Cricetulus griseus: one gene and its partner. The protein of the gene in region 1 interacts with the protein of each later gene in a biochemical or structural test. Links are inferred from orthologs where the notes say so. Each region holds a gene or a part of one and is shown in the gene's direction. Other genes may lie near its edges.

Region 1 (5,105 bases):
GCCTTGGAAATGGCCAGCTCAGCGCTGTGGAGGAACCCAGAAAACCTTAGTTCCGAGGCTGCACGATTTTTCCAGAGTGTCAGTTTCTAGTGACTTCCTTGGGAACGAGACCAGGCTTTCCTCTGTTTTGCATGTTGCTCGTTTCGGCCTGTCATAGTGGTTTTTCATTCTGAAGACAGTCAGTAGAAGCTCAGAGAGGTTAAGAGCCCTGTAATGTTCAGGAGCCAGCAGGCATTAGGCAACCTGTTTGAACACTCCTAGAGAAGTGGCTTCCAGTATCTTTGACCTTGACCCACCGTTGGGACTACCTGTTTGGTGTGGATTAGACCAGTGGATGCCCAGATAGGGTGGAAATAAGAACCTACTGTGTGTTCTGCAAGGGGAGATTGCCTTTTAGAAAAGAATGCGGTAGCCCTCTGGATCAACCGGTTCGTTTTGGTCACTGGCAGCTTTGAAGATGGCTGCTGCTGCGTGGGCCTCTGCGTTGTGGCCTGAGGGAGAGACAGTCCCCTCTAACCAGAAAACCTTGGGCGAGAAAAGAGATGCCTGTAGGATAATTCCTGGCTAATGGCAGACTGGGAAGGAACCCAAGATCCAGGTGGGCCAGTGTGCTGTAATCGCAAGGTCGGAGTGCAGCTTCATTTTATTGTAGGCACCATGGCTTTTAATTTTGCTTGAAAGTACCCCCCCCCATACAATTTCTTCAATGAGACGCAACCATATTTCCAAATGTAGGAGGATGGAAGGCCATTGTATCTGAATTCTAGAAACGTTACAAAGAGTTTTGCGGCTCCCCAGCTTGAAGGGAAGTAAATACTTAGTAAATTAACATTAAAAATAGAATTCACAGTGGGTTATTATCCCCCTTTTACACGTGTGAAGCTGATAGCTGGAGGTGGGGGGGCAAGGTTCAGAACTTGACAGGTTTGGGTTGTTCCCCCACTCCCTTCCAAAAGGGTTAATGGTTTAGCATATGTAAATTCTCTACCCAACCGGAAACTTCCTATTAAAGTGGGTTATAGGTGGGGTCCCCCACCCAAGGTTTTTAAGCTGTCTGGCTGTACTCCGGCTTTTATTGCCCAGGAGGATTTGCTACAAAATAACCTCTATGACAGTGAAAAATGAGTGTAGAGTTGCCAATCAGGATTGGGATTTTTGAGCATATACTGTGGCCCTGCTCCCTGGATTCTCCCCCAACTCCCAGTTGTGTGGGAGGGTACCACTGCAGCTTGGCGGGCTCTGCTGCCAGCGGCTGGAATGCATACAGCATGGTGGCTGATGAGCATTTGTGGGAAATATCTCCCCCCCCCCCAGCCTGTGTAGTTATTTAAATAAGGTGTTGCTTGTAAAAGCTTTGATTTACACATTCTTAAGAAGCAACATTTTGTAACTGAGTTTCTTTGTCAACACCATTGGGTTTATTCTTTGCCGTTCAAGAGACTGGGCTGCCAGGATGACAAAAATGTTTCTTTTTTTTTAAGCTATATGAATTGTTATTGTAGAAAATGTAACAGGATTTTTAAAAAGTTTCTACCTTGAAGTAATTTTACATGAAAGCAGGGTGAAAGCAGATTTGGTTTGTGCCTGTCCATTCCTCCTCCTCCTGCAGTTATAGGTGTTTGGGCGGTGGCTTTCCAGCTGCCTCTTCCCCACTGACATCCTCAAGCATGCTCCAGATCAGCCAGTTCACCCTGACATGCTTGTGTGTACAGAATACAGGGAATTTTTGTTTGTTTGTTTGTTTGTTTGTTTTGCCCCTTCTCTTTCAGAGACAGGGTGGGCTGTATAGCCCGAGCTGGTCTCAAGCTCATTCTCCTGCCTCTACTCCTGGAGACATGGGATTACAGGCTTATGTCACCACAAAGAGCTGGTGCAGGTATGTATGAACACAGCCCATTGCCATCGTTATACCAGGTGCTATCACTTCTCTTGGCTTCAGAAACATGATTACACTTGGATTATTTTTTAAATTTTGTTTTTATTTGTATGATTAGTGTTTACCTACATGCATGGATATGTACCACATACATGCCTGGTGGCCCCAGAGACCAGAAGGGGCATCAGGAAACGAGTCACAAACATTTGTGAATGTGGATCCTGGGAACTGAACCTGGGTCCTGCAAGAGCAACAAGTGCTCTGAACTGCTGAGCCATCTCTCCAGACCCTACAACTGATATTAGAATATGGAGTTATGAAAGAATGTGTAAATTTGGGTTTCTGTCATCTAAATCTTTCTTGGTTGTATTTTGGTTTTTGAAACATGGTACCCAGGCTGGCTTTGAACTCATTTTCCCTTGTGGGACATCCCCAGATGTGTGCCATTACATCAGCAGTGTTTTGCCAAAGCCTTGAAAAGTAGGCCTCTTCCACCTTTGTCTGCATTTCCAACTCCAGATGCCTACATCCTCTTCCTTTATCTGCTCCTGACCCAGCACCCTGCAGCTTCACTCTACCAGCATCACTATCTCACGGGCAGTGAGGCTACGCTGGCCCAGCTCCAGCCTGCACCATCCTTTTCACCCTGGCAGGTTAAATAAAGTGAAGCTCTTGTGGTGAAATGGCGTCAAGCTACAACTTAATTTCCCACTTTCACCTCTAGAGCTGAAGAACCTGAAATCCCTATTTATACCTTTTTTTTTTTTTTTTTTCCTCTTTGAGACCAAACAACTGTGCCTTTCCATCAGTTTTTCAGTAGAGCTGTGCAGGGTTCATCATCTAACCTGGGAGCTTCCTCCAGTCAAGTGTGGTATTTGGACAGCCGGCAGACCTGGTGGGCCATACCTAAGTCAGGCCTGAGGCTCAGGAGCAGCACCAGGGCTGAGTGTGTCCACTTGCTTCACACCCAGTGCATCTGGAGTCCTCCTGATGCCTGAAGGTACACATGTGGTGTCCCTGAGATGGTATACCAAAATGTGTTGCTGCAGCCCCAAGCAGGGGGCCCACCGGGTGTGTGAAGCAGCCAGACCCTCTGCTGTCTGCCAAGAACACAGTGCCTCTGGCTCTTGGACACTGGACCAGCATCCGGGAACTCTATTCTTGGTCTTCCCTAGTGTCAGCAGGGGCATTGGATAGATGAACATAGTCATCCACTTCAGTCCTGTCCTCCTAGGCATGTGTGGGGAGTTTGGCATCTGTATGGGTCTCAGTTTCCCTGTCTGGAGCATGTGAGATATTTCCCAGGTTGCTCACACCCTCTGGACATTGTGACCTGGATTCTTTTTCTTTCTGGTGTGGCACAGGTTGAAGGGGAGCCATGTGTATGTGTCCCCAGTCATCTTGAGAACTTGCTGGTAGGATGATTGGTTACCCAGAGTAGCCAGACAGGGCCCATTAGAACCAGGTTCAAGATGAGCCTGCAGAGGTAGGCTTCCATTGCTGCCTATATACATTACAAGTGGTGGGCTCTGTTCCATATGCCAACACAGATATGAGTTCCAGTCAGGTACTTAGACATGGTTAAGACTGAATGGAATCTTATGGAGATGCAAAGAGCATTAAAAGCATCCACCTCCCATGTTTACAGTGTGTCTGTACAGGTGCTATTGGTTCCTTGTCCCTACTCCTCCTGACTTCCAGGGAGCTCACTTGAAGCTTAGAGTCCTTGGAAGCATCTTGAATAGCTCACTGGAGAGCACAAGGCCAGGGGAGCTCGGGAGGGATGCTGAGGAGGGCAGCAAGGGAGTGAGGAGTTGACTTAGGGATTAGGTAGCTGGATGGTGCCAGTGGTTTAAAGAGAGGATTTGGGGCCTTGGAGATATTGACCAGGCCAACACTGTAGGAGTCAGAGAGGAGGAAGAGACCCCGGGCAGGAACTGCTTCCAAATCTTTGTGGTGCCAGGTGGGCAAGCTCATTCTGGAAAAACACCAGATAGTTCTTCATGTGTGTGTTTGGGCAGGAACTGGCTCCAGGGCTAGCCATGGGGACCACCCTGTCAGCTCTCTTAGCTTCCTTTACCTAGGAGAGGGTGGTGATGGATTGTGGGTTGTATTAGATATTTTTCTTTTGTTGTGATAAAACACTATGATCAAGGCAACTTATAGAAGGAAGTTTATTTGGCACTGATCATTCCAGGGGGTCAGAGTCCATCATGGCAAGGAGGCTTGGCAGCAGAAGCAGGAAACTGAGAGCTCACATCTTTTCAGACATTTACAAGCATGAAGCACAGCAAAATGGAAATGGCAGAGTCTTCAAGCCTTCGAAGTCTGCCTCTTGTGATGTACTTCCTCCAAGGCCATGCCTCCTGAGCTAACTAGGGATCAACTGTTCAAATGCCCAAAACTAGGGACATTTTTCATTCAAACCACCACAAGGGTGAACGGAGTTGAGCCAGTGCCTCATTGTCTCTAGGGGAGACTCATCTGTGTGAATGGTCCAGCTAGACAGGCATTGGGTTTGTCTGTACCTTCATCCTGACAACCACTGTTATGAAACATTGAGTAAATTATTTCATGGCCATGGCATGAAGAGAGGCCAGATGTCACTGAGTTTTAGGGCTATTAGGTTTGGGGTGCTGAAGGGAACAATTTGAAGCTGGGGGTGAGTGCTGGAGGTAGGTGTGAGAAAGCCAGGAGAAGTGGATAAGGCTCTGGCCCCGGACAATCTGGGATTCCATAGCTGGCGCTCAGTCAGCCCTCTAGCCCTGACTTGGATGGGCCGGAAGGAGAGCCAGATCACCTGCAGGCCTTTCCCCACTTGTACCCAGAAGACCTAGGAGATGCCACAGGTAATTGCTGTTCCAAAGGGCGTGGGACTCCCAGATGCTGCCAGTAGGGCCTCTGGGAAGGCAGAAAACAGTCCCAAGTCACTCCCAAGGACGCCAGTGTCAGAAGTGGGGCTGGGCCAGAAACCTGGCTTGGATGGACCTGAGAGAACTGTTTCTGCATTGACACAGTCTAGGAAATGGCACAGCACCAGAGGACTTTCCAAAGCCTTCCAACAATTAAGTTTACAGCTTCTTGTCTGTCTGCTTACCTGCCCCTTTTCTAAAAAAGCTTACAGGTGTAATCTGGGGCCACCATGCTGGGCTATAACTGCGGCTTGTCTGCTCCATCCTTCAGTTGGGGTAAAGGGACTGCTGAATTCCTGAAATGCCATGGCAACTGT
Region 2 (4,890 bases), on another chromosome or scaffold:
CCAGGCTGGCCTCTAACTCACAGAGATCCGCCTGCCTCTGCCTCCCGAGTGCTGGGATTAAAGGCGTGTGCCACCAATGCCCGGCTGAGGATCTGACCCTTTTGATCCCACACACCTGTGTAAAAGCCAGGCACCTGGTGATTATTTGTAATCTGAACTGGGGGTAGGTTGGGTTGTGTGGATGTGGTAGTGTAGGGAGAGATGGGCAAATCTTGAGGTATTGGTGGCCAGCCAGTTACTATGATCCTGCAGATTATGCTAAATGTTTTGAGACCTCTGTCCCTTCATTTCAGGGCTCCAGTGACAAACCAAAATACAATTCCACCAAAGTCCAACTTAGGGGAAAGGTGTCAGTTTATTGGGCTCACTTACAGAACATAAGGGTCACTTATAGGAGAGTGAGTGACTGCAAAGCAGCCACACCACTAGGAATTCTCTTCCCAGCATGGATGGCAGCTTCCTATAGCTACATAGACTCCATTGGAGTCCCCTCTTCTGTTAATTTTCCACTCTAGACCTCCTGAGGCCATGAGGCCATGTGCAATTAGATCAGGATTCCACACACACGGCAGGAAGTGTAGGGGGAGCAGCTGGAATTCCAGGTAAGTATTCACTGACTCTCGTTGCCTGCTCCTCCTCTGAGGGAAAGCCATCACTCAGCAGGATCTGCTTTGGGGTTGTTTTAAACGTAGTCACAGCTGTCCTGGTGAGAATGGTGGCTGTTATGCTCAGAAGACAGTGCTCTGCAAGGCTGCCCCTGCTTCAAAAAATGAATGTGCTGGAGACGGACATCCAATTGTTGACCTGTGACCTCTACACTTGCACACACCAGCATACACATAAACATACATGTGTGTACGCACACAGAAAACTTTTAAAAGATCAATTTTTATTTTACCAGCTTACATAATGAAATTTACTTCTGGAAAAGAATGTATGAAAATGGGAGAGTGCTTAGATGTCATAGAAGAATTTCCATTTAGAAAATGTCATGTGTTTAGTTTATCAGGATATGTATAATTTTAAACATGTATGTCTAAGGATAGTTTTAGCTGTGTAGTTGCAGATTGCCAGTTAAGCAAAACACCCCTTTTACTAATGTGATTTAACCAGGTCGGGTGTTTGCACCTTTAGTGCCTGCGTGTATGCTGGCTCCTTATTTTGTCAGCATATTAGAGAACTTAGAGAGAGTATGTTTTTGTATGTTTGTACTTTACATGTAGGTATATGTTTAACAAGGCATCAGTAGACTTTGCTCTTTGCCAATAAATATAGACCCATGAGAATGTGAATAATTTTAAAGAATTCCTTTACATTATTTGACAATACCTTTAGATAGCTACAGTTACTATGGTTTTCTACTAGTTTTAAAGCTACTTCTTGTCTTCCAGTAATGTAACAATACAGACTGATGTGTTTATATTTGTACAGTTGTTTGGTTCATTCTTTAGAAAAGCTTCTAGGTATAATTGCCAGGTTGAGTATAGACTGCTTGACTTTTAAAACCATCCTCTTAGATCTCAAGAGAGACCAAACCAACCACAGAAAGAATTGAAAAGGCTCTCTGGAGCAGTAGTCTGATGTCATTCTTGTTCCTGTGCTTTCTTTTGTTTTAACCCTGCATGGTTGTGTAATGGTATTCTTTTTCCCTTTTGTAGTAAGCTGTGCTAGAACAAAATGCAATGAAAGAAACACTGGATGAATGAAAAGCCCTGCTTTGCAGCCCCTCAGCATGGCAGGCCTGCAGCTCATGACCCCTGCTTCCTCACCAATGGGTCCTTTCTTTGGACTGCCATGGCAACAAGAAGCAATTCATGATAACATTTATACGCCAAGAAAATACCAGGTACTAATGAAACCACTAATACTGGAGCATTTTTCACTAAAATAGAATAAATTACTATAGAATTGACACAACTTATAAAACTCATTTACTCTTTCAAGCCTCCCTCTTCTGATTAATTTTCTTATTTAAAACATTTTTTTTTTTGTTTTCTTTTCTGTTCTAACATCTGCTGGGTAATTGACTTGTGTTGGTTCTGTTTGTGAGTTCCTTATCCCCTCCCAAGTTCACTGTTCCTTTATATCCATTTGGCTGTATCAGTCCTAGTGAGCTGGGTAGGGATGGAGATTGGTTTGAAAGTATTCAGCCCTGAGCTGGTAGAAACATACCTAGTGGAGATTCAGTTATATGTAACTAACATGTGCAGAAATAATTCTTAAATAAATTTGTTAGTGCCATTTTAATATATGCTTACAGCAGCACAGCTGTGTATAACAGCCATTTCACTCCCCTGTTATTCTTGAGTAAATGTGAAGACAGTGGTTTTCTTTTTGTAAAGTTGTCTGCAGATTTAGATTTGAGAAAACAGGGAAATTTCTATGTTTAAAACAAAAGTCAATTCTTATATGTGGTGCTTCATTAAGAAGTGTGTGGTCTTTTCCCATATTTCAGGTTGAGCTGCTGGAAGCGGCTCTGGACCATAACACCATTGTCTGCTTGAACACCGGCTCAGGGAAGACGTTCATCGCGGTCCTGCTCACCAAAGAGCTGGCCCATCAGATCAGGGGCGACCTCAACCCACGTGCAAAAAGGACCGTGTTCCTCGTCAACTCTGGTAATCAAATATCATTTACCAGATGTGAGGAGAAAATTGGATGAGACTTTGTATTTATCTCTGTGGGTATTAAGTTAAATTATTGGAAGTAAAGAGTTTGGCAAACAATGAGCTTACTGAAGCCCTGCTAGCCAAAACACTATTTTATTCTCTGTAGCATCTTTCTCAATAGTTCAGACTCTGCATTTCTCCTAATGGGGTTTGCTCTGGGGAGATGGCTAGATTGTTAAAATTACTTTGATTCTTGGTTCACTCCATACAGCAGGTTGAAGGCTGACTAGAGATAGGAACCTACTTGATGGGCGATTTTAGCTGGAGCAGTTTTAGAAACTTATATGGGTCTTTAAAGCTACTGAGGAGACTTAGTGTCTGATGTCTTAAACCAATGTCTGTATGCTTGGAATTGTCGACATGAAAGTATAACCTGGGAATCCAGAATGACCTCCCCTTCTGTTTTTTTTAAGACAGTCTTAGCATAATTGTGTGATTTGAACATGACTTCTTGGTGGATTGACCTGATTTCAGTGAGGAGAGCAGAAGGGACAGGTGTCGAGTAGGTGTCCTTCTGGTTTGAAAAGGACTTAGATCTTTAGGATGGAGGAAGTCAACTGTGAAGGAGATATGAGGTTGTCTGGAGGAAGTGATGGAAGAGGAAGTGGCAGGCCTCATCCATGATTTTAGAGGGTGATCTTGGAACTATGATTTTTAAATTAGCCATTTAAAAAATTGGTGGCTAGGTATAACTGATAATTTTTGTAACTGTTCAGAAAGCTAACTGGGTACATTGTTCCTATTTGCATGTTTTCTTCGTGGCCAGCAAACCAGGTTGCTCAACAAGTTTCAGCTGTCAGAACTCACTCAGACCTCAAGGTTGGGGAGTACTCAAACCTAGAAGTAAATGCATCTTGGACAAAAGAGAGATGGAGCCAAGAGTTTACTAAGCACCAGGTGAGACCTGCAGGGACATTTCACTGTACAGACACTACAAGCCCGTTAGCCTTAGCTATGGAGGAAGCTAGAAAGGGACATTCTCCCAGTCCTTTCCATTCTCTCCCTGTAAGGTTCATCTGAAACCAGTATGAACAATACATTACTAATGTGTTTGCCTCCAGAGGGTAGAAAAGAGAGCAGCTGCCGTTATTTACTTGCTTGAAAAACACAAATACCTGTGACTTATTGAACTTGAAGAGAATGTATTTTGAAACTGGGAAAGTTCCTTGTTTGAGGTCCCTGGTCTTTGAGGGAGGCTCCCTCTGCCTTCATGTTTTCAGTAGATAGCATGTGCTAAGGGCTTCTTGTGTGTGGTACTGGGAGATACACAATGGTTGAGGGCTGCTTTGTAACTAACATCCAACAGCCTGCTAACCACTAGTAGTTCTCGAATATTAGAATGAACCTACTTAAATAAAGCCTTCCAGAACAATAGGCTGTATAAAGAGTATTTAATTTTTCAGAAAACCCTGTCAGCTCTGTAAATTCTTCTATGTTTTGACTAAGTTGACAGGTCTCATATTTCAATGGCTGGGGAAACCTGAAGTAGATTTAGTAACTTACCATAAGGACGTGGTCTCCCTTTCTAAGGCGTTTTTCTCATAATCTTTTCCCATACTATCACTGGTCATTGTTTACATCTTGGTTCCTATGTTTTACATATGTAAATTTCTTTGCTTTAATTTTGACCCGTGAATTTCATAATCTTCACTTCCATATACTGACACTCTGGTCTTTGGTAGAGATATAGCCAGGCAGGTTAATGGCATTTGTGTACTGATATCAGTTTTATTTTAGGTTCTCATTATGACTTGCTATGTCGCCTTGAATGTTTTGAAAAATGGTTACTTATCACTGTCAGACATTAACCTTTTGGTGTTTGATGAGTGTCATCTTGCAATTCTAGACCACCCTTACCGAGAAATTATGAAGGTAGGTTTTTAGACTTTATCAACTTCAGTAATTGATGGTCAAATTATTAAGTTATTGAGTAAATACAGTTTTAACATTTCAAAATGTTAATTTTATGTGGATAGGAGTTTGCCTGCATATGTGTCTATGTACCACATTTGTGCCTGGTATTCTCAGAGGCCAGAAAAGGGTCCTTCTGAAACTGGAGTTACAGGTGGTTGTAAGCTGAAGTTTGAGTTCTGGGAATTAAACATGGGTCTTCTGGAAGAGCAACCAGTGTTCTTAATTACTTAGCCATGTCTTTGGCTCTTATATGCTGTGTTTACAAAAAAAAAGAAAAGAAAAGGTCCAAAGGGCAGTGATGTTAGTT

What was found. The genes of interacting proteins can lie anywhere in the genome.
Region 2: the proteins of Ago2 (region 1) and Dicer1 form a complex in vitro, tested with the Homo sapiens proteins (2 studies listed by BioGRID and IntAct). The link is inferred for Cricetulus griseus from reciprocal best matches to the Homo sapiens genes AGO2 and DICER1.

What each region holds. Positions count from the first base shown.
Region 1 is NC_048595.1:370,847,231-370,852,335, reverse strand, and holds the start of Ago2 (protein argonaute-2), read left to right. Parts: upstream 1-1,836; 5' UTR 1,837-1,851; coding exon 1,852-1,876; intron 1,877-5,105.
Region 2 is NC_048598.1:190,294,236-190,299,125, forward strand, and holds the start of Dicer1 (endoribonuclease Dicer), read left to right. Parts: upstream 1-1,661; 5' UTR 1,662-1,702; coding exon 1,703-1,846; intron 1,847-2,455; coding exon 2,456-2,618; intron 2,619-3,435; coding exon 3,436-3,566; intron 3,567-4,406; coding exon 4,407-4,541; intron 4,542-4,890. UniProt on the Homo sapiens protein: Double-stranded RNA (dsRNA) endoribonuclease playing a central role in short dsRNA-mediated post-transcriptional gene silencing.